Linked DNA regions of Lepisosteus oculatus. The protein of the gene in region 2 purifies or fractionates together with the protein of the main gene of each other region. This does not show direct contact. Links are inferred from orthologs where the notes say so. Each region holds a gene or a part of one and is shown on either strand. Other genes may lie near its edges. The genes, in order: uxt, si:ch211-140b10.6, polr1e and polr2l.

Region 1 (7,794 bases), on a different chromosome or scaffold from region 2:
TTTATAAATAAACAGTTGAAATGCAGTGAATCCCATGCTAAGTCAGTACAACAGAATATATTTTAGGACAAGAAATTAATTAATTTAACTTATTGTCGTTCATTTAATTATTTATTCTCAATAGAAGCATGAAAATGTAACTTTCACCTCTTTATCATGCAATTAAACCAGCTCTCTGATATGCCTATAAAAATCTAATAAAAACAATACATTTTACAAGAGCAAGACAAATTCAATGCACAGAACAATTCAGAAAGAGTCCAGGTGAAAGCTCACAGATCCTGGGCTGAACTGATCACAGCCGGTAAGAGCACAGCAGAGCAGACTGCTGCCCCCTCCCCTCCCCGAGTCTTACTCTGTCAGCTGGCTGGTCTTCCTCTCTATAAACTTCAGGGCTTCGGGCAGCGTGAACTCCACAAAGAACCCGAATCCCACGGCAACGAAGATCTTGGAAGGATCCTCACTGGTCATAGAAACAAGGCAAAGCTGAGTGTGTCAACTACAGCAGACACGTGGTAAGCGAACCAATTATTCATTTAGCAATCAATACTTTGGCAGACACCTTTATCCAACGTGACCCATGTATATTTGCACAGCTGGGTGCTTCCCTGAAGGGGGTCCAAGCGAAGTACCACGCTCAAGGGCACAACAGCAGTGTCCCCACCTGGGATTCGAACCCGCAACCCTCCACTTGCAAGTGCAGATCCCTGACCACTGAGCCAGCTGATAACAGAGTGCTCCTCCTGAAGGCACGTTCCTGTTCTCTCACAGGAAATATTGACAAAAAAAGTCTATACCACTTCAATACCAGAAATCCGTTTTATTTTGAAGAACCCACTTCCTTAACAGATGTAAAAACCGGTGGTTAAGAAGCCAGGCCAGGAATCAAGACGGAAGACTCAAAACATCTCCGCTGTACTTACACATGAGCCTGGACATAAAAATTACAGCCCAGGTCCACATCCGTTTTAAGCTCCTTGCTTCCCGATTCCTGGAATAGGGAGACTGGTTTAAGAGTAAGAAAAAACAACCTAATTCACCAAATTACTCGAAACAAAAATCACAGCTGTGAGAATATATATATATATGTACATCTAATCATACATCTATAGTTCTTTATGTCAGTGATTTATGTTTTAATAAAACTGCTCCAAAATCCGAGGTGTGCTATGTGACACCTATTGGCACATAGCACATTATTAGCGGACACTATCGCTACAATGGAAATAAAATAATAGCATGAAATTAAAGAGATAGGTATTGAGATACCAGTTCACATCATTCCGAGTATATATGTAAACACTGCATTTCACGATTTCAAACTTCCCTAATGTATAACTACTGTCCTACAATATAACCCACACTGTAAAGTGAGAGGCAGGCGAGTGCTGTACCTGAAGGCTTTCAATCACGTTCTTCAGCTGCAAATACTGGGCGATCTTCTCGTAGATCTCATCTCTCTGCTCCAGCACCGTTCTGGCACAGTAACAGACAGACAGTAGTCACGGCGCCGACACGGCGACAACACTCGCCAGGTAACCCCAATGGCCGAGAGATGAAAACGATGTTCAGGGTGTTTTTACTTTGAGTTCGGGCATCTGCACCTCCTCCTCCCCGCCCCCCAAAAACCGGACCCAGGCGTCGGCTGAGCAGCCAGAAACAGCCGTGAGCCGCAGGTGACCTCGGTCTGTCGCGGGACGGGAGACCGCGAGTCTCTGGGCTCCGGGTGCGACAGATTAAATCCCTTCATCTTTCCAAGCTACAGGCTCCCGAGTCCCAGCCAGCACCCCGGGTGTCTGTGCTGTCCTGTTGACAATATCTGCATGAAGGTGAGGACTTCTGTACAACTCATCCACTGTGTGTCTGGGCAGGGCCAACATTGACTTTAACGTGCTTATGGACGAAACATTAAACTCTCTGCTTACATCTGGTTTTTCCCGTTTACAACTGTTTTTTTCTGCAATATATCTAGGGGCTTGTGCAATATATTTTTATATTTATAATGTGCAATACAACTTTCTGTTTTTTGTATATTCTGTACTGTGAGCAACTTTTTTTAGTGCACTTCTCACTGAGTGTACCGACTGTATTGTATTGTTGTATTATTGCATTACACTGTGCTCTGTTGACTGTGCTAAACTGCTGTTGCACTGCAATCTCCCTCACGGGATCAATAAAGTATCTTCTTTATTAAAAGAAAACTCTCCCCCTCTCTCAGCAGAATTTACACAAGAGCTCACAATTTCCTGAAATGCATCAGACAGCTGTACATCTGGGGGAGTGCCTTGAGCTAGAGAACAAAAGGCAAACTGTGATTTTTTTTTGGGGGGAGGGGGGGGATCACGGAGACAGGACAGCAGTTTATCCAATCTGGTGAAGCACACAGCTTCAGTTTTGCACTATATACCGGACAACTACAGCTGCGACAGGTAAAACATTGGGATTAGAACCTGCATTTAGACTATAAAAACAGAAACAAAATTCCACTCTTCGGCCCCCCACACACTTACTGCAAATCTCGCTTCAAGACCTCGTTTATAAACGTCTCGTATGCAGAGACTTTTTCTTCAACTTTCCGCCTGCCGCCCGGAGTCATCGTATAGTCTCAGCAGGGCAGGAGCCTGTAGGAGAGACGCACGGTGTGAAAATGAAACAAACACTGACATCACCCCTCGCCCGATTTACACACCTATCGTAATCAAACCCGATACAAACAGATCATTTCTCGGTGCTCAACGATATATTCCCAACGCCACGTTTTCGTTAGGCATGTCTCTCCTTGCAGAATTAATCTCGCTTTGAATGTCACCCAGATAAACCACGTCCCCTGCTTATTGAACTGCTGCTAATGCAAAAAAACATAGAAAAGCAGATGTGACACACGGTGTAAAATAGTTTTTCAAGAGGCGGAAAAGTATATAAACCTCATCGATTACTGAGATCGTGAGAATCAAGGGGAGCAAATTCATACATCATATGTTTTCATCCACTGCACGCGTCACTCATGGGCTTCCGGGTTAAATGTCAAGACGTTTTAATGTCATTTTGTGTTTTTTAAATGTGGTGTAAATAAATCCATACATTGACTTGGAAAACAAATACGGTTCGTTATCTATGAGCGTTTTTTTTAAAAAAATATATGTGTCTTATACGTGAATTTATTAATTTGCGTTACTGACGCCGGGGTCAAAGTTTAAATTCCCGTCCTTATTTTTAATTCTGGACATGTGGAGAAGTCCTTTCAGGGTTCACAGGTACCTACCTACACACTCACACGACACGGGTGTTTTTCGAGGTCCTTATCAATACTGAATAAAGTGGGATTAAAATTGCTTTCGGTGGGGGGAAATTATAACTAAATGTTTATTTCCAGCGCCGAGGGCGGAGCGGGGATACCGAACCGAGCCCCGGTCTGTGGTCGCGGAGACCCGGCTGGCTCTATCGCTGCAGGTGTTTAATGGGTGGCGTTTTTTTAATTAACAAAACCTCTGGTATTATTTCGACACAGGCCTCGGTACATATAGACGTCTCTGGCAGTGTCCCGAGTAACCCAATAGAAAACAGGCGAGTGTCGGAGCGGTTTTCGGCAGCAGCTGGGACAGTTTCACAGTTTCGCACTCGTAGCTCCTGTGAAGAGCTGGACGGGAGATTTGCTCTGATCTCCTTCGTTTTTTGTTGTTGTTGTGGGGAGTTCGTGTTAAATTCGGTGCCCACCGAACAACGTCCTCAGCTCAGAAGTCACTGAAAAGAAAAGTGTCAAACTTCTAAAAGACCTAATAAGCGACGCTAGAAAATACAATACTCATCTGGTTGAAGTGCCAAACCCGGTTGTTAAGTTGAATCTCCTTGTCATCGTTTTTTTTTTTTTTACCGTGTACCGTGTTGTTTTTACGGACGCGAGGATATCCAAGTGTTTTCTGAAGTTTCTCATATCGTTGGGTATTATTATCGCGGTCTACTGTTCTGTGGCCTACTTCTTGTAGGATAATGTGCACCCAAAAAACGAACTTCAGTGTGTTTGTGGTGTGAAGTGTTCGGGCTGTCCTTCACCTGCCGGGGCTCGTTTTCAGGGTGTGTTGACACAAGCGAGTCGCCATGGCCGGTCCGGAGCTGCTGCTGGACTCCAGTATCCGAGTCTGGGTCGTGCTGCCCATCGTCTTCGTCACCTTCTTCGTGGGGGTCATCCGACACTACGTCACCCAGCTGCTGCACAGTGACAAGAAAGTGGACCTGCAGCAGGTGTCCGACAGGTGAGCCCAGCGGATTTCATCTTTCCGGGGGCAGAATCGTGAAATGCTGCAGGAGTTTAAACAATCGTTGTTCGTAGATGTTGGTGGGAGATTTCACAATCAACTTGAAATTGACAAATCAGTGTATGGTCTCATATCGAAGTTATTCTGCAGGTGAAGTGTTGGAAATACATCAACTGTAAGATCAATTTTAGCTTATTAGCTGCGGGGAAATATTACCTGTGCAGAAGGTGTCTATAGGCCTTAAGTTATATGGGAAAGATTGGCACAGCACCAAGTGATCTGCAGCTGGGCTAGTACAGAGATTGAGATTAGTTTTGTGGCATGTGACCAGGCTCTGATCGACTGAAACAGTTGTGCAGAAGTGGCCCCGAATGTAAAAAGAGCAGAGGAAACAGGAAGCTCTGTGTCATAGCCCAGGGCACTGCCCAGCCCTCTGGTAGAGCCCTGTGCGTACCAAGCCAGCACTAAGCTTAGATAAAAGAATTAAAGTAGGACGCAATGTAAATATCAATGTAAATATTACCGCAAGTAACTTGTTATATCTGTTTTTGCAGCCAAGTGTTGCTCAGAAGCCGTATTTTGAGAGAGAATGGGAAATACATCCCCAAGCAGGTAAGAATGTTATCCTGGGCTTTCCGAGACTCTGGAGCATCCTAATGAAAATAGTTTTGTCCTTCATACTGGATTTGTGCTGGGTGCTTCCGACTCTCAGGTTAAGAGCTGATGTGAGCTACGCTTTCTGTGCTTGGCTTCAACTGAACTGGTCGTGAGAAATGCCGTGAGCTCCACTGTGTCAGGAATCGGTTGGTTATCCTCAGCTGTGTGGATCAATGATCAGAGCACTGAGAAGGTTTCAGCAGAGATGGTGCTCCTCTCTGGAATCAAGACGGTGTGGGTCTCTGGACTGGGTCTCCAGATGTGGCGGAGCTGCCCGCTGTCTGGGGAGCGAGGCTGCCCTCGTCTCGCGACGCGCGCGCCTCGTGTTCTGCGTGACGGGGTGCCGGCGGAGCTCTAGGCGTGATGCTCTCCAAACGCTTTTCTCTTCAGTCCTTTGCGATGCGGAAGCACTACTTCAACGATCCCGAGACGGGGTTCTTCAAGAAAACCAAGAGGAAGGTTGTTCCTAAAAACCCCATGACAGGTGAGAAAGAGGAACCGTCCCGTTTCGTTCGTGGTGGTGGGGGGTTGAGGTGCTTTCATTCTCAAAATACTAGAGAATTGAAGCAAACCGGGGAACCTCACACTCTGCACGCCCCCTGTCCTGAGCGCTATTTACAGGAGTTCGAACTTGGCATCGTACAGTGGGAAGAGTTATGGGGATTTGCTGCTGTTTAGTTTTGGGGTGTTGGGGTTACCTCTCACCTGGTGTGTCAGCTCCAGCCTCTGACTGGTCTTTTGCAGATACCAGCATGCTGACGGACATGATGAAGGGCAACGTGACCAACGTCCTCCCCATGATCGTGATTGGCGGCTGGATCAACTGGGCTTTCTCCGGGTTCGTCACCAGTAAGTGACTGTTCTGTTGGTCTTTCAGAAGAAATGAATGAATGCAAATGAATGTGACCCCTGCTGGAAAAAGATCAAGGTATTTCCCTAGCAGTCCACTTGCAATTCAATCAATTCAAGCTTTATTATCCTCTGGGGGGAATTTTGTTTCATGGCTGAGTCCAACTCAAGCGATACACTGCTGGACAAGTCGGGGGTGGCAGTGATAGAGAGAAAGGAGTTACCCCAGGAGGAGTTTTGTTTCCGCCTGTGAAGGGCTTGAGCTCTGCAGTCAGGGGCTGGGACATGAGCCCAGCTGTGTGCAGCCTGAAGGTCTAGCCTGCCTACTGCCCACTGATCCCCCTGTCTTCTCTCTCTCCGCACAGCCAAGGTGCCCTTCCCCCTGACCCTGAGGTTCAAGCCCATGCTGCAGCGCGGGATCGAGCTGCTCTCGCTGGACGCTTCCTGGTACGGCTTCGCACCGGTCTGCCCTCTCGCCCCCTCCAGGCCCACGGCTGCCCTGGCCTTGTTCGCGCTGTTCGTTCTGCTCTGGCTGTGAGCCTCGTGCCTGTCCTTCGCTCGGCTGGTCCCGGGTCCCGTAACGCCCCCAGGACACCACGCCGTGCGTCGGGGGACCCAGCCTTTGGAGAGGCAGCCCCTCGTCTTCCAAGTTCCCTTCCTGACCCAGTTGAAAATGCAGCTTCTGTTGACTTTTCTAAATCTAAATCCTCAATTTCTCACTTATATCTATTTTTATTGTATATTCTGCTACTGTATTTTGTATTGTGTCTTTTACGTAAAGTGCTATGAGAGAGCTCTCTATTGAAAGGCGCTGTATAAGAATAGAATTGATTGATTGATTGATTGTCCCCATCTTTTTCTGTGTAGGGTGAGCTCGGCGTCCTGGTATTTTCTGAATGTCTTTGGGCTGCGCAGCATGTACAACCTGATCCTGGGTCATGACAATGGTGAGCAAGTCAGAGCTGGATCCAAGGCACCCCTGTTTCTCTGTTCTCTCCGGCCGCTGACTAGTCCACAGAGCAGCGTGCCTTGTCTGCTCACTAATAGGAGAGATAGCTGCAGAGCTCTTTCTGTCTCGAGAGCAGATGAAAAATAACTGCTCAGCGCCAATGCAAAGGAGGCACTCAAGCACGACAATTGAAATGTTTGCTCCTTTGGTGGAGCTGGTTGGTTACATTATCCATCCATCCATCCATCCATTCATTTACCAACAGCTTTATCCAGTTCAGGGTCGTGGGGGAGCTGGTGCTTATCCAGGCTATCAGAGGGTGCAAAGCAAGATAAATCCTAGACATGGTGCCAGTCCATCACAGAGCACAGACATGCACACATACAGCTAGTGACAGTTTCCCAGAAGTCAATTCACCTTCCAGCATGTCTTTGGACCATGGGAGTGTTTTCTTGAAGGGCAAGAGAATCCCGTGTTGATGGATTTTAAAATTTGTTGAGAGACTCTGTGCTTTCTGACCTCAGTCTAAGCTGCACCCTTCAATGTCCCTTCCAGCTGCTGACCAGTCCCGCATCATGCAGGATCACATGACAGGAGCTGCCATGGCGATGCCCCCTGACCCTAACAAGGCGTTCAAGGTGAGAGAATTCTCTCCCCCCCCCCCCTTAAATTTTCTTCCAGGTCTCCTGAAAAGCCAAAGACTGGATGGGTTGAATCCGAAAATGAAAAGAGCAGATGGTGTTTTTTTTATCCTGAATAATATCCATCATGTCATGTCATTTGCCAAACCTCTTTATACCGTACGGTGTCGCAGGATGAATAATATATTGTAGCGCTCTCGGGTTCATGTGGGTATGCGCCCTTGCCACTGCCGCCTCAGGTCGGCTCCCCACCGCTGGGGACTCGAACCCGGGCCTCTGGCATCACTCAACAGGGACCCAGCCTCTCGAGCTAAAGGGAAATCTCCCATCAGCCCGGCGGCTGCGGTCTCTGCTATTCACAGGGAAGGGCGGTGACGTCACCACGCTGGTAAGTCGGCTTGCACAACCTGCAACGGTGGCCGTATGCGTTACAATATATTATATA
Region 2 (7,333 bases):
GTACAGCCCTCACTGGCAGCGGGGGTGAGTTTATGGCTGAACAGTGCTAGGTGAGCTGCCACCCTTAAGCATTGCGATTGCACTCCAGCACAGCCACAAAACATTTTATATTTCACCGCAAAGTATTCTGAAATGTGCAGAATTAGTACAAATGCTAAATAGATAGATAATACTTTATTAATCCCATAGGGAAATTGATGTGTTACAGCAGTCCAGCCCAAGACAAGCAAAACAGACATCAGAATAGTTATAAAACAAAAGACAAACAAGATAAATAAAAATAAATACATAGGTGTGTGCAAAATGTGCTGATCATAGTCACTGTAAAAACAATAAAATATGTGCAAAATGTGCATAGGTTTATACAGACTGATTGTCCAAAACGTACAATGGAGCAAACATGCTGTCCATAGAGGAGCAAATGAAGGGCTAACAGTCCTAGCCTAAGGCAGCGTTATACACCCTGACAGCTGGAAAGACAGGAAAGACATGCGGAAACGTTCCCTTGAACACCGTAGCTGGAGCAGTCTATTGCTAAATGTGCTCCGCTGCCCAGTAACAGTCCCATGAAGAGGACGAGAGGTGTTGTTCATGATGGCTGTGAGCTTGGTCAGCATTCTCCTCTCAGCCATCACCTCCATGGGGTCAAGGCTCATCCCCAGCACAGTGCCAGCCTTCTTGATGAGTTTATTGAGCCTATTTGCATCTTTTGTCATGATGCTGCTGCCCCAGCACACCACAGCGTAGAAGATGGCCGCCGCCACCACTGATTCATAAAAAATGTGTAGCAGTGTTCCACACACACCAAAGGACCTGAGTCTCCTAAGAAAATAGAGTTGGCTCTGACCTTTCTTGTACAGGGCGTCAGTGTTACCAGACCACTCCAGCTTATCATGCAGGTGTAAATGGCCGCCTCTCAGAATAAATCTAAACTTCGACCAATAAAAATGGCGCACTAGGTGCTGGATGGCAGGTTTTCATTGAGTAGAAGCAGGAAATGTGTCAAACAAACGGCCACTGTCAAATATCAGGAATGGTGCTACTGACTGGCCAGCGGGTCAAAGCGTTGAATAAATTCACACCTAACACTAATTTAAACTGGTTTAATAGCAAATCACAATTCCGTATTTACTGCGATACTGCAATCAATGTGTAACAATTAATTTGACAAGTAGAAATGTTTTATGAATTGAAATTTTGCTTCACAAAGCTAGAGGGCTGTAATTCCAAGACTGACCTATGAAGTGCTTGCTGTGGCAAAAACAGCCGAAAAGCAGAACACAAAGCTTCCTTCTGGGAGTCCCAAGACATTCTCTCTCACCCCTACTTATGAATCAGGTTTAAGGAAAACATGTCATTTAATCTAGTGTGGCAACATTTAACAACTACAGTATTAAATCATTCTGGCCTGGCAAGCAGTCAACTACTTTATACTGAGCTGTATAAACACCGAAAAGTCAGGAATATGGGATAATTATAATTATAATGTTTTCTAAACCACCACAAGGACTATATTTACAATGAAAAATTCATAATGAGCTTTTGCCCTGACATCTTTGCCCTTTGAAATGCAGAATCTGTGCTCTGACAGCTACATCTGCTCTTGTCAGCAGTTCTTTTCTAAGTTTGTTTTGGTGGATTGCCATATGGAATAATAATATAATTTACTCATTCCTTCTTAAAAAAAAAGAGAAATCTATTCACAGCTGCATGCCAAATTGAAATTAGCATGTACAGCAAACATGATATGAAGCACCATTGATCTAAAGTGAAAAAACTTCATCAGCAGCAGGTTTTCAGGAACATATACACTACATTCTCTACAGCTTTATATTAATTCATTCTTCTCTTAAAAAATGCACTAAAACTGCTGAAAAAATAATTCGAAAAAAATCTGTTACATATCATTAATGATCTTCCAAATTCCACTTCTTAAGACTGTAACGAACTTCTGTTCTTAGTTTCATTCCATGGAAACTGTCTAATTAGTTTTGACTGTTAATGTTGTACAAAACTGTGGTTTTACCCATAATAGGTGACAACGTAAAAAAATGTCTGATCTTCGCCAGCTTCCGAGCGGTGATCATAGTAGTGTGCGATACATATCAGACATGTATAGTTACTAACAGCTTACCTCAACCTTTTAGTATGTTCTCCTATTACACGTGTAATAGAAAATTCATTGAATTATTGAGCAATGCACAGGACGTTTTTTTTAACGTGAGTATTTAATAAGTTCAGACGATCGGTATGGTTAGTCCTGTAGTAAAATATTTTATTAGAGTATTATAATAAAATGAGCAAGGATCAACAACACAGTAACAGATCAGCCAGTTCATTCAACGTGTTAAGAATTGAAGAACGCAACATTAACAAGCTCTCGGGTGGTATTACTAGTAATTTATTCCGTTGTAAACAAACTGATATATGGTAAAGCGCTAACTGCAAGTACAATAGTTCACTAAGTGTTTCGTTAATGATTTTTGATTATTTCGAATTACTCGTATTAATATTAAAGTCATTGGAAGCATTAATTACAGCACATTAAGGAAGCGGTACTGATGCCGTGATCAGCACAGTACGCAGTGATACCTGCTTCAGCCGACAACCAGCGGCCGCGGCTCCAACTCTTTCGAAACCAGCACGCTGTTTCAACATTTAATGTTCAAATCTGTCGACATTTTCCACCGCTGTACTCACTTCTCCAGCTCTCGATCCTCCTCCATTTCAAATACCACACGCCGAGACGAGACGAGACGAAACGAAACGACAGCACTCAACGCCGTCTGCTCCAACTTCCTAAACAAGAGCTTCCAGGACCAGTAGGACCCCTCCGCGATTGGTGCCCTCGCAGATGCCGTACTGCGTCGCCAGCGCTAAAATCGCACTGAGTGATCGCAGAAAAGCATTCTTTGGCCTACGTGGCGCTCAGATCATTTTTTAAAGCGACTTCTTGGTGCGGCAGCCATGAATAGGCGGTGCTCCGGGGAGCGATCGCTTAGCAAAGCACCGAGGCGGCTGTGTTTTGAGTCAGGCGCTGTGAGGGGGTGCAGGGCGCTTCCTGCTACCATGACATCACGCCGGCCCCGCCCCTCTCCGGTGAGCTCTGGGCAGGAGGGCGGGTGGGGCGGTTCTCCTCCCCCGGTAGGCGGCGAGGGCGTCAGTCCGCCGTGCGGTCGTGCCCTGTGTGGCTCAAGTGAGTTTTGATTGAGCCGCAGAATTGTCCCAGGTCCGAGCTGGAGTTCACAGAAGGGCGGCGGCGAAGAGGGGGTGGTGGGCACGCTGTAATAGGTAATGTACTGCGGTATTCATTTGTTCGTCCGGTATGCGTTTAAAATTTTAAAATAAGAATGTCGCCGCCTCCGCCACGATTCGAAATAGTTACTTTGTTCAGGAGGACAGAAAAAAAAACGTGAATTTTTTCAAAGTGTCTCATCGTACTCTTCTTGGGGAGTGTAGTGTAAATTGTACTGCTTGTCAATAGGCGGATATTATTTGATAATACATGATCTGCATGTGTTACTTACACCCCCTTTCTTTAAGTGAACGTGATGGATGCTTCGCTTAGGTGACAAGCCGTAGAAAACAGCTGTACAGTCTGCTATGAACAGTGAGCACTTTCAAAGATGTGTCCATGATTTGAGGTACAGTTCTTTGTTGCCGTACAGTATATAGGTTAAACGAGCAGCGAACATAGTAGGTAACAAAGACATTTAGACGAAATATCGATTTCAGTGCTCAATGTTAAACGCCATCTGTATCAAATTCCCCGGTTCCTCACTGGCATTCCTGCTGACAGATCTGAGACGGCGGACTCAGTGCACGCTTTCCTCTGCGTTGGTTGCTTGTCATCCAGCCACGGTGGGGGCACCCCTTGAGTTTCAAGGAGAATGACAACGACTTTGTGTGAACAAAGCAACACCTAGAGAACAATAACTGTTGGTGGACTTCGCTTTCCCTACTTCGACGGCATTGTCTAGTCGCAGCCTGGTGCCGCGAATGAATTGCTCGGAGGATCAGCGTTCTTTGAAATTCATGATGCATGAAAAGCACACGCTGGGCACACCTTATAGCAGTCATAATTTGTCTGTGTTTTAAAATGTGCGGTAATTGTGTCATTTATCTGAGGTGTAAAATGCAAGCCTGCATGCTACACACAGTGTGGCCTAGATTTTCTGAAATATAGTGTGCTCCCAGTGTATAGTGTGCACGCTCTTGCACAGAGACTATAAAAGATGAATTGAACTCCAAGGCTTTTCAGGTCAGTGCACCAGATGCAATATATATATGTTCTGGCTTATATAATGGTATTTTTCATTTCAAGCTCTGTACAGTTGCACTGATGTGGTGTTAAAAGATTTAGCGACCTAGTCCTGGCAGTTTGCGCTCTCTCGCAGTCCTACAGGGTGGTGAGGAGCGCGGACAGAGGTCAGACATCTTGTGTCGGATTGGAGCCTCGGGGTGCAGAGGGCAGATTGGTGTCCGCAGGGCAGTGGTCTCTATGGGGACAGGCAGCTGTGGGCATGTGAGGAGGCTGTTCGTGTGGACAGACGCCCCATGTGTCCACTAACACTAGACGAAAACCCAGTGACCATTTCCGCCGGATTCCTCCAACATGCAGCGTGGATTTAGAGTAAAAGTAACAGATTCCCTGGGAGAACGAGAGACTCGCTGGAGTTATCTGGCATCGAGCTACAGCTGCAAAGTAATTTGTAGGTTGTGTGACAGTTGTAAAACAGATCTTACACAAACTGGTGTTTAAATTCAAACTGCATGCCTGTTTCTCTGAAGAGCCTGGCATGAAGCTTGGGCCGGGTGGTTTGTCTTGAGTCTTGCTTTACTCCGCTCAGAGTTGAACCTTGCACAATAATGTAGGGGAAGAACAAGCCAGGAAAACCAGGCTGTTGATATACAAGGCTGGTTTCATTTCAGAATCTTTGCCCTTGCTGCTGTCACAGCCGAGCTTTGACGGCGTGGTACGCTGTTTTATCACAAAGAAGCACCCTGCGAAAGAACCTCCGCTGCTACCCATAAGCATAACATTCCACAATAGGTTGTTGTTCTGGAGGAACAAATGCTTTTTTTTTTCTCCAGTTTGTGCGAGTCAAAACGCATTTTTGCAGCGTGACCTTGTGCCAAGCAGTGGAACACTTGTCAGGCTCTTTGGCTCTAGGAGCTCAGCACTCCTCTTTTGCCAACATGTGTCTTTTCCACTGACCTTTCCACCTGAAGCCTCCTGTAGCGATCAAGGCAGAGCAGTTTTTTGAGGGCAGGCCGTCTGAACAGCCGGGCTGGGTAGCTCCCTGCATCGGCTTTATCTGGTCAAAGAGATCTCAGGTGACATTGGAGCTGCTAGGGGGTGGCAAGGAGAGAGGGCTGGAGGTCTGGAACGTATACAAGAGTGTTCTGGGCTCAGAATGCTAATGAGGACATGAGTCTTGTAATCCTGCTTCCTGCACAGACCCACTGTACGCAGTGGTACATCAAAGGGGTCCGAAGTGCAATAAATCATCTCTAATAGCAATGAAAGTGGTATCACGCGTTCCAGTCAGTTCTAAGTCACTCTTTGTCAGGTCCTCTTCATCATTAATCACCTTTGTCAGGTGCTCTATTCACATCCCTTATGTTGAGAAAACTTCTTTTTATGCTACAGTTCATTGATCTCCCAGGATGAACTATTAGCTATTAAAAAATTGGGTTCAGTTTCCATTGAAAATCGTCGTAGGAGTGTGTTTCTGCAAAAGATGGAAAAGCACTTGAGTGAAAGGAGAAGAACAATGCAAAATGTCTAGGAGAGTATGTAAAGCCAGGATCCTGTTGTGATTCTTCTGCAGAGCACATTATTGAGCACAGCTTTTCCTCTGTTGTCTCAATATGTTGTTGGGGATAAAGGTATCTGGAAGATCAATGTCCATCGTTACTATTAAAGACAGTTTATTGCATCAGTTATTGATGCTGTGGGATTGATTGACTCCTTGTCTCCGGATTGCCCTAATGGTAGCTGTCTCTCGCAAACCACATAGCTGGAATCTGGAAGCCAGATTTATGTTTACTGTGCTACTCTTCCCCCATCAGACTGCAGTCAGGATTCAGCTATTCATTTTCATTAAACCTATTAAATTAATTTCTTAGAGGCTGCCTTCTGAAAGCGAAAGCAATCAAATTTCTAAGTGAAAAATGGCTAGACTTAATGATTATTGATTACGAAGTACACTGAGTGTCTTTGCTCCTCTTTATTGTCCTAATCAAGAGGTTGGGTAGCAGCTGTCACCGAGCGCAAGTTGAAACGCATAATATTACAGAAACGGACCAATGAATCGGCATAAAAAATGAAACCATATCATAACAAAAAGTGTTTAAAATACCTTCCTTTCTCTACAGTTGACTATGAATGGTGAAAAGGATTTTTGACAAAGTGCAAAATATAGACTGGAACTAAAAGAATTCCTTTGAGTAAAATAAACTTATCATTGAAAATTAAGTAAGTAGGCTAATGTCCAATATTGCTTTCCAGTCAGCCGGGGGCGTGATATGTTAAATCACAGCAAGATGCTAAATTTGGAAAAGGAAATGTTTGTTGCTCGCCTGGATGCACAGGAAGGTTTATCCTGTCACCACAGACCTCTGGGAGTCATGCTGCTGCGACACTGGGGATAAAACATTGGCAAACATTGGTATTGTCAGTATCAGAAACAAGGTTTCATTTGTATCAGGTATCCCATTATTTTAGTAAGTGCACTAATGTAATAAAATAGGGGGTGTGGATATTTAAATAAAGATGGGTAAAATTATAATCATAGAATTATAATATAAAAGTTGTGTCCTGACCCCAGGTTGCCTTGTAAGCAAATTATTTGTGTCAACGCTTAAAGGCAGCTGCTTTTCTTGTCTTCTTGGACACACTTTTCTATGCTACCGGTTAGGTAACTGTAAAAAAAACAGACAACAAGCTTTAGCAGAACTTAGCCCCCCAGCTGAGCTGCTGTAAAAGAGAAAGGGGAATCTGCTTCTTATAAAATGAAAGCCCCTACATTGGACTGAATCCCTTCCTAAAAGGGAGCTAAGCAAATGTTACATATTAGTAAAATTCCTTTCTCCATTCTCCAAATAGCACATCACTGCATGCCACAAATATATGAGAAAAGTATTTTTACAACTATACGACAGAAGTTTCTAAAACCGGGAGTTTTAGAAACAGTCTGGGTGCCTACAATGCTGTTATAGGAGAAAGAAGTCATCCGAGAGTCGGTCTGTTCAGTGCTCAGACTACCTTACAGCAAAGATATCTGTCATCTGCTCTGCAAAGGAGGAGCCCTCACACAGCCTTGTTCTT
Region 3 (7,589 bases), on a different chromosome or scaffold from region 2:
ATCTTGAGAAGAAACTAAATACAACCTTGCTTCCCCCATTCACAAAGCATTAGAAGCAGTCGAGTATCAAGAGATCAGATCACTTTAAACACTACAGTACCTTTTCTCTGTAGGACTTATTCTTGTGCTCCAAGGCGTCAACTTCAGTTACAGTTTCACCTACAAATATGCATGCAAGCATGTAAGTATTTTTGATAAATCAGAAGGATACGCATTAGTTTTCCAAATACAGAATAGACAACTCCAATGTCTAAGAAAAAGGCTGTTAAGGCAGCAAAATCTGTCCCCGCTGCCATCGATAACTACATGGATTTTAAACGTTAGAGGTTTAGACACAACATTAAAGATTTGCAGTATGTCATATGGGAAAATAAGCGTTTTAGCAAACTAGGTGCACTACCCAACTGATTTGGAGACATCAGCATACCTGGAATTACTGGCTGCATACTGAACAGCTCCACATTGTGCACATTCATTGTCCTGGTTTTTTTGTCCAGAACACCCACATAGTACCTGGGGAATGAATACATCATGCGTTAGTGTAGCGAAAGGACACAGGTACAGTGTTTGGTCACATGACCCCAACAGAACTGTGTAGAGAAAAAGCTTCTCTCAACTTTTGTTGACTTCATGATTGCATTCTCTCAGAGTGCAGTTCTTCACTGGTCAAGAAGCACATATGTATACATCCGTAGAAATTACTTTTCAGATCCGGGACATTTTCTGAAATTTCATCAGCAAGCTTTAGGGAAACATCTTCCACCTGCAAAGACTTACTTGCAAAGTGTGTTACATTTCAAGGCTTCAGCTCCATAATTATTCCCAACGTAGCAGAGCCTGTCTGTTTCTGCAGCCTGTGACAAAACACAGGAGACAGAACCTGAGTCATCGGGATACCAATCTAATATTAACCTTCATCTATTCGTCATTTTTCAATAACTGCTTAATACAAGACCGGATCACAGTGACAAGGGAATTTACATTTTTTTAGCCGTTAACAAAATTCCAAAATTGGTTATAGAGAATGGCCCCTGCAAACCATTTTGCTATCAAATCATTTCCGATTTCAGTTTGTATATATTTATACCGGGTGGAAGCAGTTTATTTGTGGAAACTATGGAGTTTTGCTTTTTTACTCGAAAATGTACTCAAGAACATGCACATACTGAACAGCACAACAGGGTTTAAAGGGTTTAATTAAGCAATTCAACTACTTACATATTAGCGGACAACAATGACAATAAAAATGCAGTTGTTAGATTAAAGTGGGCCGATACTTAAATCTGCAACTACATTTAAACGTACCAGAATGCGCCTGTTCTTCTTTCTTGGATTGCTGAGATCAGTGTTTCTGTATAACGTGAAGTCGACCAGGTCGGCGTTTCTGAGTTTGCCATTGGAAAACTGAACTGCAGAAGAAGACGTGGGAACCAGCTATGATTAACTAAGAATGTAAAAAAACTCAGCAAGGCATTATTTCGGTCTCTCAGACTAAGACAATCACCACAACGGTCAGAAAGACTCCAGGTTTACACTATAATCGTCTACACTATAATCTATCGTTTTCTTTAGTATCGATCTAGAAACCAAAGACCTTCAGGATTATACACCTAGACAACCAGAGCTGGAACTCCTTGAATTTTAAAATTAAATTAAACTTATTGAGAAGGTTTAATCATAAATTACGTTTATCCAAAATCAGCTTAAGTGTAAAACGTGCACTGACTTCACTCACAGTCGTTTTACTACCACGTGTACGACCAACATTGCAGCAGAGAAAATATATTTACGAATACGATTTTTTTTTTACAGCCGGTATAAACTGGAAGAGGCGGACTGTCTCCGTTTTTGAAGCAATTCGCGGTATACCTATTGCGGCAGGCGGCCGTTCCTCCCGTTCCTCCCGTTCCTCGTTGCAGTGTTTCCAAACATAGGAGGCTGCCATTTCTGTGCTCGGCCCTGAACCCGAAAGCGACTTCTGAGCCGGCGGGCGTCAGCGGCGCTTATAACCGACAGCGCCCCCTAGCGGCGAACTCCGGCTCTACACCGCCCACTCGGCGACAAACTGGCTTGAGTCGGGCGTTTTGTTTGCCATCGTTTGGAAGGCCTTTCATTCACGTTTCAGGTCCATACGGTTGGATGTGTTGGGATTTGTACAATACCGGGAAGAGAGAACATCTGCTTTTGTTCGGTTGTTTCAAAGCACAAATAAATAATAAACGTATGTAGTTCCATATAGGGTTCCAGTAAGGAGCTGTATTTTTTTTCCCCAACGGGTACAATACACAGCTACTATTAACAAAAAAAAACAGCATAACAACAAATGAGTTATTTTCTTAGTCTCTCTGACACTCGCACCAGGTTTTTAAAAATCATATCAACAGCACTAAAGTCATCAGATACAAAATAACATGCCAGACTTCACAAACCCCAGTCCACCATCAATCGGTCCAGAAGTTTCTAAACGCCAAAACATTACGAGGTACAGTAAGGTGGTCAGAGGAGTCAGAAACGTAAACTTCATTGACATTTGAAACCCTCGTTGAGCATCTTCTTGGGGATTTGTAGGATCGTATATCACAGGATTCGTTTTATTCAGGAAATCGCTGCTCGTTTTCCATTTTTATCAATACTCCAATCCCTCTGACTTTTTTATTTAGGTTCCCCTGTCGTGCTGTAGTGACAGTTTTGAGCCTCAGGAAGAAACGGCGGTTGTCCCGGCTTTAGCGGATCAAATACAGAGCCAAAACAACAAACGTGTGAACCGTACGACGTTGATCAAGTGGAGGATATTTATTTTTAAAAAAGTTTAGTAACCGGTCATGAATATTAAGCAGTTTCCTAATTTAGTCGAAACGCTGCTGGTGTCCAGCGTCTTTTTTATTCATGACAGGAACGTACCAAAAAACACACACACACACACGAAACACCACAAAAATAAACCCCTATCCTACTGAGTTGCAGCCCGGCTCTCAATCGTTTGGGCTGTAGCTACAACAAGCGAGGTGCTCTGTAGGTTTTTTTTTCTCTCTCTCTCTCCGGGTTTTCGCGGCTTGTTTCTCCGGCCAGTGAGAATCTGCCGCCCCGGAGTGAAATAACGGGCCCCCGGCGCTGCGGTGCAGCAGTCAGAAAACGTCACTCGTCTGGGATATTGCTTTCCCGTTCCGGTTTTTGCAGATTTGCAGGAAAAGGAGGGGAACTTTTTTTTTCCCTCTCTCTCTCTCTCACTCGCTTTCTCGGACTGTTAACCCCCCTGTTCCGGGGAAACTACTTTTGTTGTTGTTGCTGTAAATGTCGTTTTTGGACAGCGGAGGCATCGAGTCCGGGTACATGCTAGAGGGGATATCGTCGTCCTGAATCACACAAGGTAGGCTTTGCGATTCCCAGTCTATTCCCAGTTTTATCCTGGGCAAGCCTCCCCAGTGCACGGCAGCACGCAGGCGCTGGATTAACAACACAGACATCAGACAGACTGGTCCTGCAAGACAGCGAAGAAAAGGGAGGAGAAGACCCCCTTCGTGGACAGGATTTCTCTCCGTGTTCAATACATCTGAAGACGCACAGGACGGGAAAAAAAAAAACGCCTCTGTTATCCGGCCTCTCAGTTGGGCTTCATGTGATATGTTCCCAGGGGTGTGCTTTGTTCTGATCTCGGGTAAAAGGTAACGTGTGTGTGGTCTTTTTTTTCCCCCTCCTGCTGTTGTTTTTGGCCAGTGACACAGATCAGAAAATAATGTAAAGCAGACCTGTGTGAGACGGAGAGAGAGAGAGGGAGACAGACGAGCCAGACGAGGCTCCTGGATGCAGAGCCGAAAGCCTTTTTCCTGGGGGGAGGGATAAATACAAACACAAAACTGAATAATATCGTCTGCATGAGGGAGATACCGACAATTAATGGCAGCTACTGTATTCTGTTTATCTGGAAGTAAATACCTCTGTGGGTTTAACCTTTATCTACGAGCCGAACGAATTTGATCGGAACAAATCATATTATTTCGCCGTTTCAGGACCAATTTAATCTAATACGATCTGCAAACTATGCCCGCTTGCACGAAGTGATGGATCCACAAGTCCGATAGGAAAAGAATAACCGAATAGAAGTAGCTGCATATCCTCAGCCGACGGCGATGTGTGCTTTTTTTTATTTAAAATAATTGTGCCAAGTCTTCGAGATCGCCAGTCTGATTTTGCTGAATTTAACATTTTTTTGGTAATGCATCCTCAGTGTAGTGCGATATCGTTACAGAGTGCATGGTGATATCTCACAGCGATATACAGTTCGGGGGGCGAGGCTGCGTTTGGCAGACGTTACCTTGAATGAACCTCTCTCGGCTGAACTGATTGACAACACGCAGCCCGGAGGTTACGCCGGGCTCTGGGGCGCCTCTTGCTCGCCCAGAAACCCGGGGCTCCTGGCCTGACACCACATTCGCATGCTTTTGACTCCATTTGAGAGAAGGGGGCAGACTATGAAGGTGTTGCTCTTGTTGTCACAAAGCAACGCGATGTTTCAGAGACTTGGACTTGATTGCGTTTGCCCCTCATTGGGGGGGGGGAGTCGTTTTCAAAAAGTGTTTTATACGTGGAGCCAAAAACATACTTTCGACGTATGTGTGCATCTTGTCTTGGACCGGGGGGGTGACTGTAATGTAATTTGGTGGATGTGTAGCTTTTTGAAGTAAATTCACTGTGAATTCTTATCCCGTCGTTTACATAAATGGGCGAATTAAGATGTGAAAGATAAACATGATGTCAAATGGAGATCCTTTCTTTTGTGTTTTTTTTTGTATTCATGCTCTTGAGTATAGTAGCTGTTTTCTTTGCGCGGGTTGGAATGTAGAGAAACTAGCATGCAGAAGAGCTCCTGCTTATTCTTACTTCTTACCGCCTATATACCCACGAAGCAGGGTATTTCACCAGTAGAGATTGTGTAGTCCAGTCATTGTTGTAGAGAGGGTTTGTTCTTATCTGTCTAAATAAAGAAAAATATTAGAAATGTTCGGAGCCATACAGAACAGCACTGAAACATGAGAAGCATCAATCCAGTTTTTTGTGGTGAAACACTTTCCCTGATATCCAAGGTGCCCTCAGGATCTGCCTTTCCTTGAGAGACAGTATCTATTCTGGAGCCCAGGAAGAGGGTATACTGCGTTATTGCTTAATCAGTATATAAACTGGCTAGGAAGTGTCCAGAGGCCCAGTCAGGTCCACTTCCTGTTCTGGTTTGCTCCTCTCCGAGGGGAGGTGGGAGGGACGAGAGATGGTGGATCACGGAGTGTTGGGCCTTTAAGTGATTCATGCCTGTTGGCTGAGGGGATGTGGTTTGTCCTGGTCCTGAGGATTCGGAGGCACTGGAGTCTGTCTGTCAGTGAGCGTGGCGCTCTGAAAGAGTTTACTGTCTACAGTAGTTGAAAGATAAGCAGCCCTACCACATTCGTGTCAAACGGAAATTACTGTTTTTTTTTTAGAATTGAGTGTATTTTTTTTTGTACTTTTAGTTGTACTTTGTGTTTTTTGATGAGGGAGATTTATCCATTTAATAAAAGGTGGAGCATAATACAAGTGTGCAACAATTGTACAACAGTTTTAAATACAAAGCAAATAAGCCATACAGCAGTGCTGTTGTTTTCCCTGTCACTGGGCAGAGTAGCAGTGTTTTCTTTTGTTTGTGGCTTAATTACAATACCTGAATTACTGTAAATTGTTGTTTGCTCAAGAAAGCTAAATCCTTGAAGCAGCTGGAACCTTTTACAGGCAATGAACTAAGAAATCTGCAGAGTGCAGGACTAGTGATGAGACCTTTGCGTGTTACTGTTAAATCCGACATATTTCATACTTTTTCTTTCTTGTAAAACCAAAAATGCAAGATGAAAGCTGTAAAGATGAATTTGGAAACCTACAAGAGTGAGCTTTCTTTGGCAAGATATCTCCAGGTGTATTTCAATTTCAGTCACTTTGCATAGACAAATGCTGCAGATATTGAAATATTTCAAATGCTTTTTCTCTCTGGTCAGATTAATTTGTACAAGAGTGTGCGGCTCATGAAGCTCTCATCTTTCAATTGGCTGTGCAGAGGAAGTCTTCATTTCCATCCTCAGAGCTCTGCTACAGTATTGGTGGATACCAGTAGCACTGTCTGGACTGTATAGAATAGGAAAGGGCAGTTTGAACTCAGAACTAGCTATGCATCAAGGAAAGTTAGTTCTGGATAAATCAAATTGCAATTAATCCAGAAGCTTTGTTTCAATGCACTGCCTAACTCTAGGTCTGTCCCTATTCTTGTATATATTAGACCTAAAACATAATTAACTCTTCATAAAAGTCTTAATGAAAGATGAACATAGTCTAATTAATATATAGTTGGATTATGTGATTTACAAAATGTTCTAACAGTAAATGACCTTTGGAACTGGTGGCACCTCCTTCACTTGCAATAACTTACACTGGATGTGTACTGTAACTGTTTATCTGTCACTCGTATCAGCTGTGAGAAATGTGGCCCATTCTTCCTTACAGAACTGCTTGGAGCCTCCATGAACAGCTGAGCATGAACAGTTTACATCAGGTCCTTCTATATCATTTCTGTAGGGTTTAGGCCAGGATTTTGACTTGGTTATTTTTCTTCTTCTTCTGCTGTTGGTGTTATGGATCTGCTTGTATGTTCAGAATTGGTGTCCTGTTGCATGAGCTGATTTCAGCACAGCTGCAGCTGATGAATGGGCAGCCTCACAATCTCCTCCAAAATATGCCGATACAACACAGATTTCATTGTTTGTCAATGATGGCAGGTCATCTGGTCTCGAGGCAGCAAAGCAACCCCAAACCATGCTTGACATGTTGGGGTGAGGTTCTTCTGTTGGAAGACGGCTTCTGATTGTTTTTCAGTCTCGCCAGAAAGTTGTACTTTTGACATAAGTGTCCAGAGTATCTTCCTGCAGTCCTGTGGATTGTCCAGGTGATCAAACCTTTCATGGGTGACGTTAGAGAGCAACGATTCCTTCCTGGCTATGCTCCCACGAAACCAGCTCCAGTTCAGGTTTTTTTCTGATGATTGAGGTATGAACGCTGACATCAGCCGCAGAGATTCTTGGGTTTTAGTTTTTGTGACTTCCTGGATGGGTTTTTCGAGTTTCTGTTGGGAAGATCTTAGAAAGACACCCAGTCTTGAATAGAGTTATCACGGTCTTGAATATTTTCCACTTGTAGGCAGGAGGCTCACTTAGCCTGATGGGAGATGCAAGGATCTCACCCCGCTGTTTCTGACAGGGTATTGGATTCAGAAAGAAGGCTGTTTGGTAGCTTGTTCCACATTTCTCCCTGGTGTCTGGGTGAAGAAGTGCCTCCTGTTCTAAGTTTTAAATGTATTTGCTCATAGTTTCCCCTTGTATCGTATGGTTTGTTGTCACTGTTTGCTCTGAGGAAATGCACAGGATTGACAAAGTGAGCATAACTCACTGTAACCACTGCGTCTCTAGAGAGACCATAAGAAAAGCTTGTTTAAATAAAAACAAATAAATACTCATACGTATTAAATAAGGAAATTCTCTACAATCGCTTACAGGAAGTTATCTTCAATTTCTTGGCTGTTG
Region 4 (7,437 bases), on a different chromosome or scaffold from region 2:
CACAGTGATCCCAGCACTGGAGTGACATAAGCAAGAGAACATCTCAACTCCACACTGTGGACAAACTGTCCCTTTCTCTACCCCATCTCTCTGTCTCTCCCACTGTCTCTGTCTCTCCCACTGTGTCTCTCTCTGTCTCTCTCACTGTGTCTCCATGTCTCTCTGTCTCTTTGTCTCTCCCAGTGTCTCTCTCTGTCTCTCCCACTGTGTGTCTCTCTGTCTCTCCCACTGTTTGTCTCTCTGTCTCTCCCACTGTGTGTCTCCATGTTTCTCTATCTCTTTGTCTCTCTCTGTCTCTCGCACTGTGTGTCTCTTTGTCTCTCGCACTGTGTGTCTCTTTGTCTCTCGCACTGTGTCTCCATGTCTCTCGCACTGTCTCTCTGTCTCTCCCACTGTGTGTCTCTCCCTGCGTTCAAACACATCACCATCTGTTGCTGTTTGCCTGAATGTCTGTGTCCTGCCCTGTTTCAGCTGTGTCCCTGGGCTTATCCTCTGCTCTTGCTGGGGCCCAGACCTGCAGGCCCTGTGATCGCTTGGCTCTCAAACACACAAAAGACTGTGCTGGACCTGTTTCCTGAATAAATACCACTCACTGTAGCTCTACACACACAGTGGGGTGCTGGCAGGGTTTGGGGTACAGTTTAAGAAGAGGGGGGTTCAGACTGGAGGACCCACCCTGCAAGTTAACACGACGAAATCCTCTATATTAGAAACAAAGGTTATTAGCATCACTAGATTAGGAGCTTCAATGGGCATTTCTCAATATTGTCTAAATGAATACTGTAATAAAGCTGGACTAGAGAGGGGATCTAGGCTTGTCTTTTGCGTTGTAAACAGAATAGGAGGCTCTTCTTTGCACAGAGGGTGGTGGGAGTGTGGAACAAGTTGCCCAGTTGTGCTGTTATAGCTGATGCCCTGCGTTCTCTTTGTCCAGTTTGAGGGTGTAATTCTGTAACCCCTGAGCAGCTGCCAGCACAGAGTGCTCGTTAGGGCTCTGAAGACTCGTTAATCCTAGCAAATCGTAGTTATGAATCATACTGTCCTCAGGGGGCCGATACTGACATCTACAACCATACTAGTCTGCAGATCCATGAAACCCCAAGGGGTCTGTTCAGCTGTGTTCCTGAGACCCCCCCCCCCAAAATGGCAGCTGGGGTCCCCGAGAGACCTGGCCGAGCTGGGGGGGGCTCAGGTCAGAGCAGCTGTCGGGCAGCCTGGTCCCCGGGTTCGAGCAGGCTCCAGTCAGGGATACGCCTCTGTGCAGCTGGTACCAGGGGGTTTGGGGTACAGGGGGTGCCAGTGTGGTGCCCCTGCAGCCTGCTGGTGGAGGGAGGGAGAATCTTCGCTTTTCCATCTTTACTCATTCATCTCCATAAACGCGAACTCAGTCCTGCGTCTTGGAAATCCAGCTCCCCAATAAACGCGCTGCTCTGAACCGCGGAGCCGAAGGATGAGCCCACCCCCGCGAGGGCGCCGGGCGGGGGAGGGTTACTGCGGCGTCAGGCGATACCGCTGACCCTTGTACTGGCGCTCCGTGAAGCAGCGGAGCGGACTGATAAGGGCTGATAACGGAGGCGAAGGTCTCTGGCGCAGCGCCGCGGTGACGGAGGTCACGGCGCGTCGGCTCGGTTGACAGCCGCGCCCGAGCGCTGGGCTGTGTCGTGCTGCCCCCTGCTGGCCACATCGGGTATCGCGCCCGTCCGGCCCACACTGGGGAACAGGGCGAAACGCACTGGGATTTTAAATAACCACAGAAAGTCAGGACCTTGGTTTAATGTCTCATCCGCACGAAGGCGCCTTTTTTTACAGTATAGTGTCCCCGTCACTACACTGGGGCAGCAGGGTGAGCGCCCCCTGCTGACCCCACTCACACCTCTTCCAGCAGCAGCCCCAGCTTTCCCGGGAGTCTCCCCTCCAGGTACTGGCCAGGCTCACACTGCTGGGCTGCAGGGGGCTGTGGCTTCAGCTGTGTTGCACTGACATATCAGATAGTCCATCCATCCCTCTTCCAGCTGGTTTATCCAGGACAGCGTGAGGGAGCCGGAGCCACACAGGGCACACACACACACATTCACAGGGCACGCACAGACACATTCACAGTCACACTCACAGGGCACACACACACACATTCACAGGGCACGCACACACACATTCACAGGGCACGCACAGACACAGACACACACACATTCACAGGGCACACACAGACACACACACACACTAACACATTCACAGGGCACACACATTCATAGGGCACACACATTCACAGGGCACGCACAGACACAGACACACACACATTCATAGGGCACACACATTCACAGACACACTCACAGGGCACACACACACACACATTCACAGACACACTCACATGGCACACACAGACACACACATTCACAGACACACTCACAGGGCACACACACACACATTCACAGAAACAACTCACATGGCACACACACAGACACACACACATTCACAGGGGCACACAGACTCACTCACACAGACTAACACAGACACACACAGACAAGACTCGCACACAAGGTAGATCTTAGTGGAATCCACGAGGAAGATCGAAACCTGTGGATTAATTGTACTGATGAGTTGCTGAGTGCTGAGTCACAGTAAATGTGGCCCGACCCCTTGACCCCTGACCCCTGACCCCTGACCCAGGGGAGGAGGAGGAGGAGGGAGGCCGGACAGCACAGCAGGGAACGATTCCTGATTACTGTCCTCTTCCCTCCCACACGTTCATCATCATCATCCTCAGAAACTTTTACAGTTTCGAGTCCGCCTTTAAGAGTTGCATCAAGAAAAAAAGGCAGTGACAAGACAGAGGAGAGAAGCCACAGTCTTCAAGGTCTTTAAGATGTCTGGGATGACCTGCAAGCTCTTCAGGAAGTCGGAAAAGGGCTGCCAGGCCAGAATCCACATTTGCAGCTGGGCCACATATGGAAAACGTCATTTCACACTTGTCGAAGAGCTTGCAGATCATGCCAGCCATCGGAAAGACCTCCACCTTCTCTTTACCCTTCAGTTAGCTCTTCCACACCTCCGATCTCCTTTCTTCTCCTCCTGTCTTCCTGTTTCTAGATCGTGGGTGGGTTTATACAGTTTGATTAGGTCCCACGTCTGTGAAGCCCTGCTGATTGGTCATTACTGTATACGGCACCATGTCATAATCTTTGCTTTTCCCGAAAGACCAATAAACAAATCAAAGATAAAAGTTGCATCTGAAGTGCTTTACAGTGGGTGTAAAAAAGCAGTTTTAAGACTAGCAAGTTACAAAGTACAGAAAGGAAAGCCGATCGCTGAGACGTGCAGCAGGAGTTGGAGCATGGAGAGGACAGATTGAAATGCTCTCAGGGCGGGAGACTGTCTGACATCCGTGGGGAGAGAATTCCACAGCTTTGGGGCGCAGCAGGAGAAGGCCCTGTCCCCCACAGAGTGTGGACGTCATTATAAATTCTTTAAATAATAATAATAATAATTGCTTACACTTATATATAGCGCTTTTCTGGCCCCTCCACTCAAAGCGCTTTACAGGTAATGGGGATCCCCTCCACCACCACCAGTGTGCAGCCCCACCTGGATGATGCGACGGCAGCCGTAGTGCGCCAGAACGCTCCCCACACACCAGCTATCAGTGGGGAGGAGAGCAGAGTAATGAAGCCAATTCATAGATGGGGGTTATTAGGAGGCCATGATTGGTAAGGGCCAGGGGGAAATTTGGCCAGGACACCACGGTAACATCCCTATTCTTTTCATGAAACACCCTGGGATTTTTAATGACCACAGAGAGTCAGGACCTTGGTTTTACGTCTCATCCGAAGGACTGAAGTGTCCCCGTCACTATACTGGGGCAGTAGGACCCACAGAGACCGCAGGGTGAGCGCCCCCTGCTGGCCCCACTAACACCTCTTCCAGCAGCAGCCTCAGCTTTCCCAGGAGTCTCCCATCCAGGTACTGGCCAGGCTCACACCAGCTGAGCTCCAGTGGGCTGCCAGTTGTGAGCTGCAGAGTGATATGGCCGTAGCGTGTAAATTCCAGGCATCGCTAACTGGGAGGCTAGAAGCTTTTGAATGAAATGCATTAACGAAAGTGAGGGAAATATTGTAACAACAGCAGCGGCAGGAGCAGTAATCCCGTTGATCGTGTCGCGCTCTTACAGCAGGGGAGAAAAAAGCTCGATGACCTCATGAAAGGATGAGAAATCCGCCGTCGACAATCGCAAAAGGAAAAATCTAGAACCCTGAGGACGAATTGACCCACCGGGACACCGTTGCTCAGAACGTACCAATATTGAGAAAATAGGGGTCAGCTAAGAATCGTATTATAATCCTGTTTCCTTATGAACCCAAAGTTTAATTTAGGCAATGGAAATATGGGATTCTATTAGAAAGGTCTTTAGATTAATAATAACCGACGATTGCGTCATTAATAGTACTGTGCCCATTAGTTCCTCTTTATAGCAGCGGCGCTGTGTGGTCTGTTCCGGCAGTGTGGTTGACGCGTGTGTGGACGGTGAGTGTCAATAATTCCGAGCTATTTATCTTTAATTCGTATAAACTGGGAGTTAGGACGCACTTATTTTAGGGTCTAGGTTATCGAGGGTCCTGCAGGGAGCTGTTCTGTCTAGTTTCAGTCGCTTTAACGAGCTTCAGCGTGGCTGGTTGGTGATGGAGGAGAAGCGGGAAGAGAGATCGCAGACATGCTGGATGATGAACAGTGTTTCCGCAGTGATAAGGGACGTGTTGCCAGGGTCGAGCTGTAAAACGGGGAGATCTGTGTTCAGGTCGTGTGCGAGATGAGCGTCTTGTCGAGACGCGGCGTCTCCGCATGGCGACGTGATCACGCGTGTGTGGAAATGTCTCCCGTGTGCCTCTGAGGGCAGGAATGGAGATACGGGGTGTCCGGCCGGAGAATGAGAATGCACCCCCCCGTGAGGCCTGCCCGTGAGAGCAGGGGCGAATGAAGGTGATCGGAGGCCCCTAGGCTACAGGTTGTGTAGACACCCCTGGTCATCCCAGTACCAGGAACAAGCGAGAGAAAATACTGTAATAATTCAGTGATGTGTTCAGAGTCAGGGCTGCCACCGCCGATTCACACGGAGTATGACGCGACACACACACACACACAACCATAGCCTGTACTGTAAGTACACCAATGCAACCAATAAATCAGCTTCACAGCCAATCAGCGAGCTGACAGCAGAAATCATGTGAGTTTTTTTATTTAGGCATAATCAGAACACAAATCGTGCAACAACAACACGATCAGCACAGCAGAGAACAGTGAGCACCCTGGGCGAGCGCATTTCTACAAGAACAACACCAGCAATCCCAGGACACAGTCAGTCAGTCAAGACACTGCATCCACGATGAGATACGAAAGATACAGGCCACAAACCAAACAGCAGGGCCCCCCAGAACACGTTCTTACCTGTAGAAGGTTTCCTGTCTTGTTTTCCTTGCAGCTCAGCTATGACCCGCAGTTGTTGCAGCACTGGCTGGGGTCGGGGTCTGGCTCAGGCCGACTAGACGACGATCCGGCAGACTTGAAATAACCAGTCCGTCTGGGGACTTTTTCAGTAGCGCCCCTCCTGCTGGGCTTTTCGCCGTTGGGCCCCGCTATCACGTTCTCTATCGCCCACGCAGCTGAGAGCCAGCGTACACTTGCACCCAAGGTGACCCGCAGGGCGACACCACAGTGATATCAACACCGCCGGAATACATTTGAACTGTGAAACCCATGGCGTCTGATGGAGCCTGCTCGCAGAATCTGTATGTTGTTCTGTACCCATAGAGTGGTAGGAGCTGGGAACTCCTGCTGAATTCGCATGCTAAACTCTACCCTTCAGGCTGGCTTGAGCACAGATGCTTCTCCCTCCCTGTGTTGAACTCCCACCTTCTGTACTAAACACCCTGGTGGGGAATGTTTACACTAAACTCGCTGATAAGAAAGGAATGTTTTAAGTGCTTTCTGAGTCCTGGAGTTTCTTGAGAAAGCTACCTCAAAGACAGGAGGGGAAGGGTGTAGAGAAAAGTGTATATAGGCGATGTAGAGTCATATCCCCCCTGAGCTGCGATAACTCCTGTGGTCCTTATTGTGGCTCCTTGTAGGCCTACAGTAAAGCTTGGCTGGACGAACGACACTTCAGGCTCGGATCTCTTGGTTTCTACACATCTATCCGATCATCGAGTCACAGGCTATTCAGTGGGGCCCACAGGTCCCTTACAAAATAATAATAACGTAACAAATTCGGGTTCTGGGGCTTGTGCCCTCACTGCCTGGGCTCGAACCCGGGTCTTGCTGGCTGAGCTAAAGAAGACCTTCCTCAGTTATGAGCAGGGGCGTGTTCGTTACAGTAACAATAATTCTGTCCAGTCAGGGGCCCCTGGTCAGTCTGGGCCTCTAGGCTACAGCCTATGCCAGCCTGTTCGTTAATCCGCCCCACTTGTGAGGGTGCACCCCCGCTCAGAGGCCTGGCTGTGAGGGTGCACCCCCACTCTGAGGCCTGGCTGTGAGGGTGCACCCCGCCCTGCAGGGGTTGCTCACAGGAGTCTCTGGGGTGACGTGCCCCCGCGGGCTCGGACAGAGGAATGGCGCTGGTCGTGTGGGCCGAGGGCCTGACCTCTCTGCTTGCCTCTGCAGGTGCCTGAGTCCCGCCTGAGTCCCGCCTGAGTCCCGCCTGAGTCCCGCCTGAGTCCCGCCTGAGTCCCGCCTGAGTCCCGCCTGAGTCCCGCCTGAGTCCCGCCTGAGTCCCGGTCTCCGCGGCGATGATCATCCCTGTGCGCTGCTTCACCTGCGGCAAGATCGTGGGGAACAAGTGGGAGGCGTACCTGGGGCTCCTGCAGGCGGAGTACACTGAGGGGTGAGTGTGTGTGTGTGTGTGTGTGTGAGAGAGAGAGTACACTGAGGGGGGAGTGTGTGTGTGTGAGAGAGAGTACACTGAGGGGGGAGTGTGTGTGTGTGTGAGAGAGAGAGTACACTGAGGGGGGAGTGTGTGTGTGTGTGTGTGAGAGAGAGAGTACACTGAGGGGGGAGTGTGTGTGTGTGTGTGAGAGAGAGAGTACACTGAGGGGGGAGTGTGTGTGAGAGAGAGAGAGAGAGTACACTGAGGGGTGAGTGTGTGTGTGTGTGTGTGAGAGAGAGAGTACACTGAGGGGGGAGTGTGTGTGTGTGAGAGAGAGAGTACACTGAGGGGGGAGTGTGTGTGTGTGTGTGTGAGAGAGAGAGTACACTGAGGGGGGAGTGTGTGTGTGTGTGTGAGAGAGAGAGTACACTGAGGGGGGAGTGTGTGTGTGTGAGAGAGAGAGTACACTGAGGGGGGAGTGTGTGTGTGTGTGTGTGAGAGAGAGAGTACACTGAGGGGGGAGTGTGTGTGTGTGTGTGAGAGAGAGAGTACACTGAGGGGGGAGTGTGTGTGTGTGTGAGAGAGAGAGA

Evidence for each region.
Region 1: the proteins of si:ch211-140b10.6 (region 2) and uxt purify together in Homo sapiens (affinity purification with mass spectrometry; 3 studies listed by BioGRID and IntAct, with this or other methods). This does not show direct contact. The link is inferred for Lepisosteus oculatus from reciprocal best matches to the Homo sapiens genes POLR1D and UXT.
Region 3: the proteins of si:ch211-140b10.6 (region 2) and polr1e purify together in Homo sapiens (affinity purification with mass spectrometry; 3 studies listed by BioGRID and IntAct, with this or other methods). This does not show direct contact. The link is inferred for Lepisosteus oculatus from reciprocal best matches to the Homo sapiens genes POLR1D and POLR1E.
Region 4: the proteins of si:ch211-140b10.6 (region 2) and polr2l purify together in Homo sapiens (affinity purification with mass spectrometry; 4 studies listed by BioGRID and IntAct, with this or other methods). This does not show direct contact. The link is inferred for Lepisosteus oculatus from reciprocal best matches to the Homo sapiens genes POLR1D and POLR2L.

What each region holds. Positions count from the first base shown.
Region 1 is NC_090697.1:76,549,201-76,556,994, forward strand, and holds the start of uxt (protein UXT), read right to left. Parts: upstream 3,017-7,794; 5' UTR 2,972-3,016; exon of another isoform or gene 2,925-2,971; intron 2,622-2,924; 5' UTR 2,597-2,621; coding exon 2,511-2,596; intron 1,477-2,510; coding exon 1,395-1,476; intron 992-1,394; coding exon 924-991; intron 464-923; coding exon 356-463; intron 1-355. Other genes in the region: ER membrane protein complex subunit 3, read left to right, coding at 4,096-4,250, 4,808-4,865, 5,301-5,394, 5,655-5,759, 6,125-6,206, 6,627-6,706, 7,264-7,346. UniProt on the Homo sapiens protein: Involved in gene transcription regulation. Acts in concert with the corepressor URI1 to regulate androgen receptor AR-mediated transcription. Together with URI1, associates with chromatin to the NKX3-1 promoter region.
Region 2 is NC_090700.1:5,625,080-5,632,412, reverse strand, and holds the start of si:ch211-140b10.6 (protein POLR1D), read right to left. Parts: upstream 3,018-7,333; 5' UTR 2,727-3,017; coding exon 2,701-2,726; intron 1-2,700.
Region 3 is NC_090696.1:67,217,330-67,224,918, reverse strand, and holds the start of polr1e (DNA-directed RNA polymerase I subunit RPA49), read right to left. Parts: upstream 3,005-7,589; 5' UTR 1,946-3,004; coding exon 1,870-1,945; intron 1,410-1,869; coding exon 1,306-1,409; intron 855-1,305; coding exon 778-854; intron 514-777; coding exon 428-513; intron 160-427; coding exon 101-159; intron 1-100. UniProt on the Homo sapiens protein: Component of RNA polymerase I (Pol I), a DNA-dependent RNA polymerase which synthesizes ribosomal RNA precursors using the four ribonucleoside triphosphates as substrates.
Region 4 is NC_090716.1:896,228-903,664, reverse strand, and holds the start of polr2l (DNA-directed RNA polymerases I, II, and III subunit RPABC5), read left to right. Parts: upstream 1-4,417; 5' UTR 4,418-4,515; intron 4,516-6,645; 5' UTR 6,646-6,770; coding exon 6,771-6,865; intron 6,866-7,437. UniProt on the Homo sapiens protein: DNA-dependent RNA polymerase catalyzes the transcription of DNA into RNA using the four ribonucleoside triphosphates as substrates.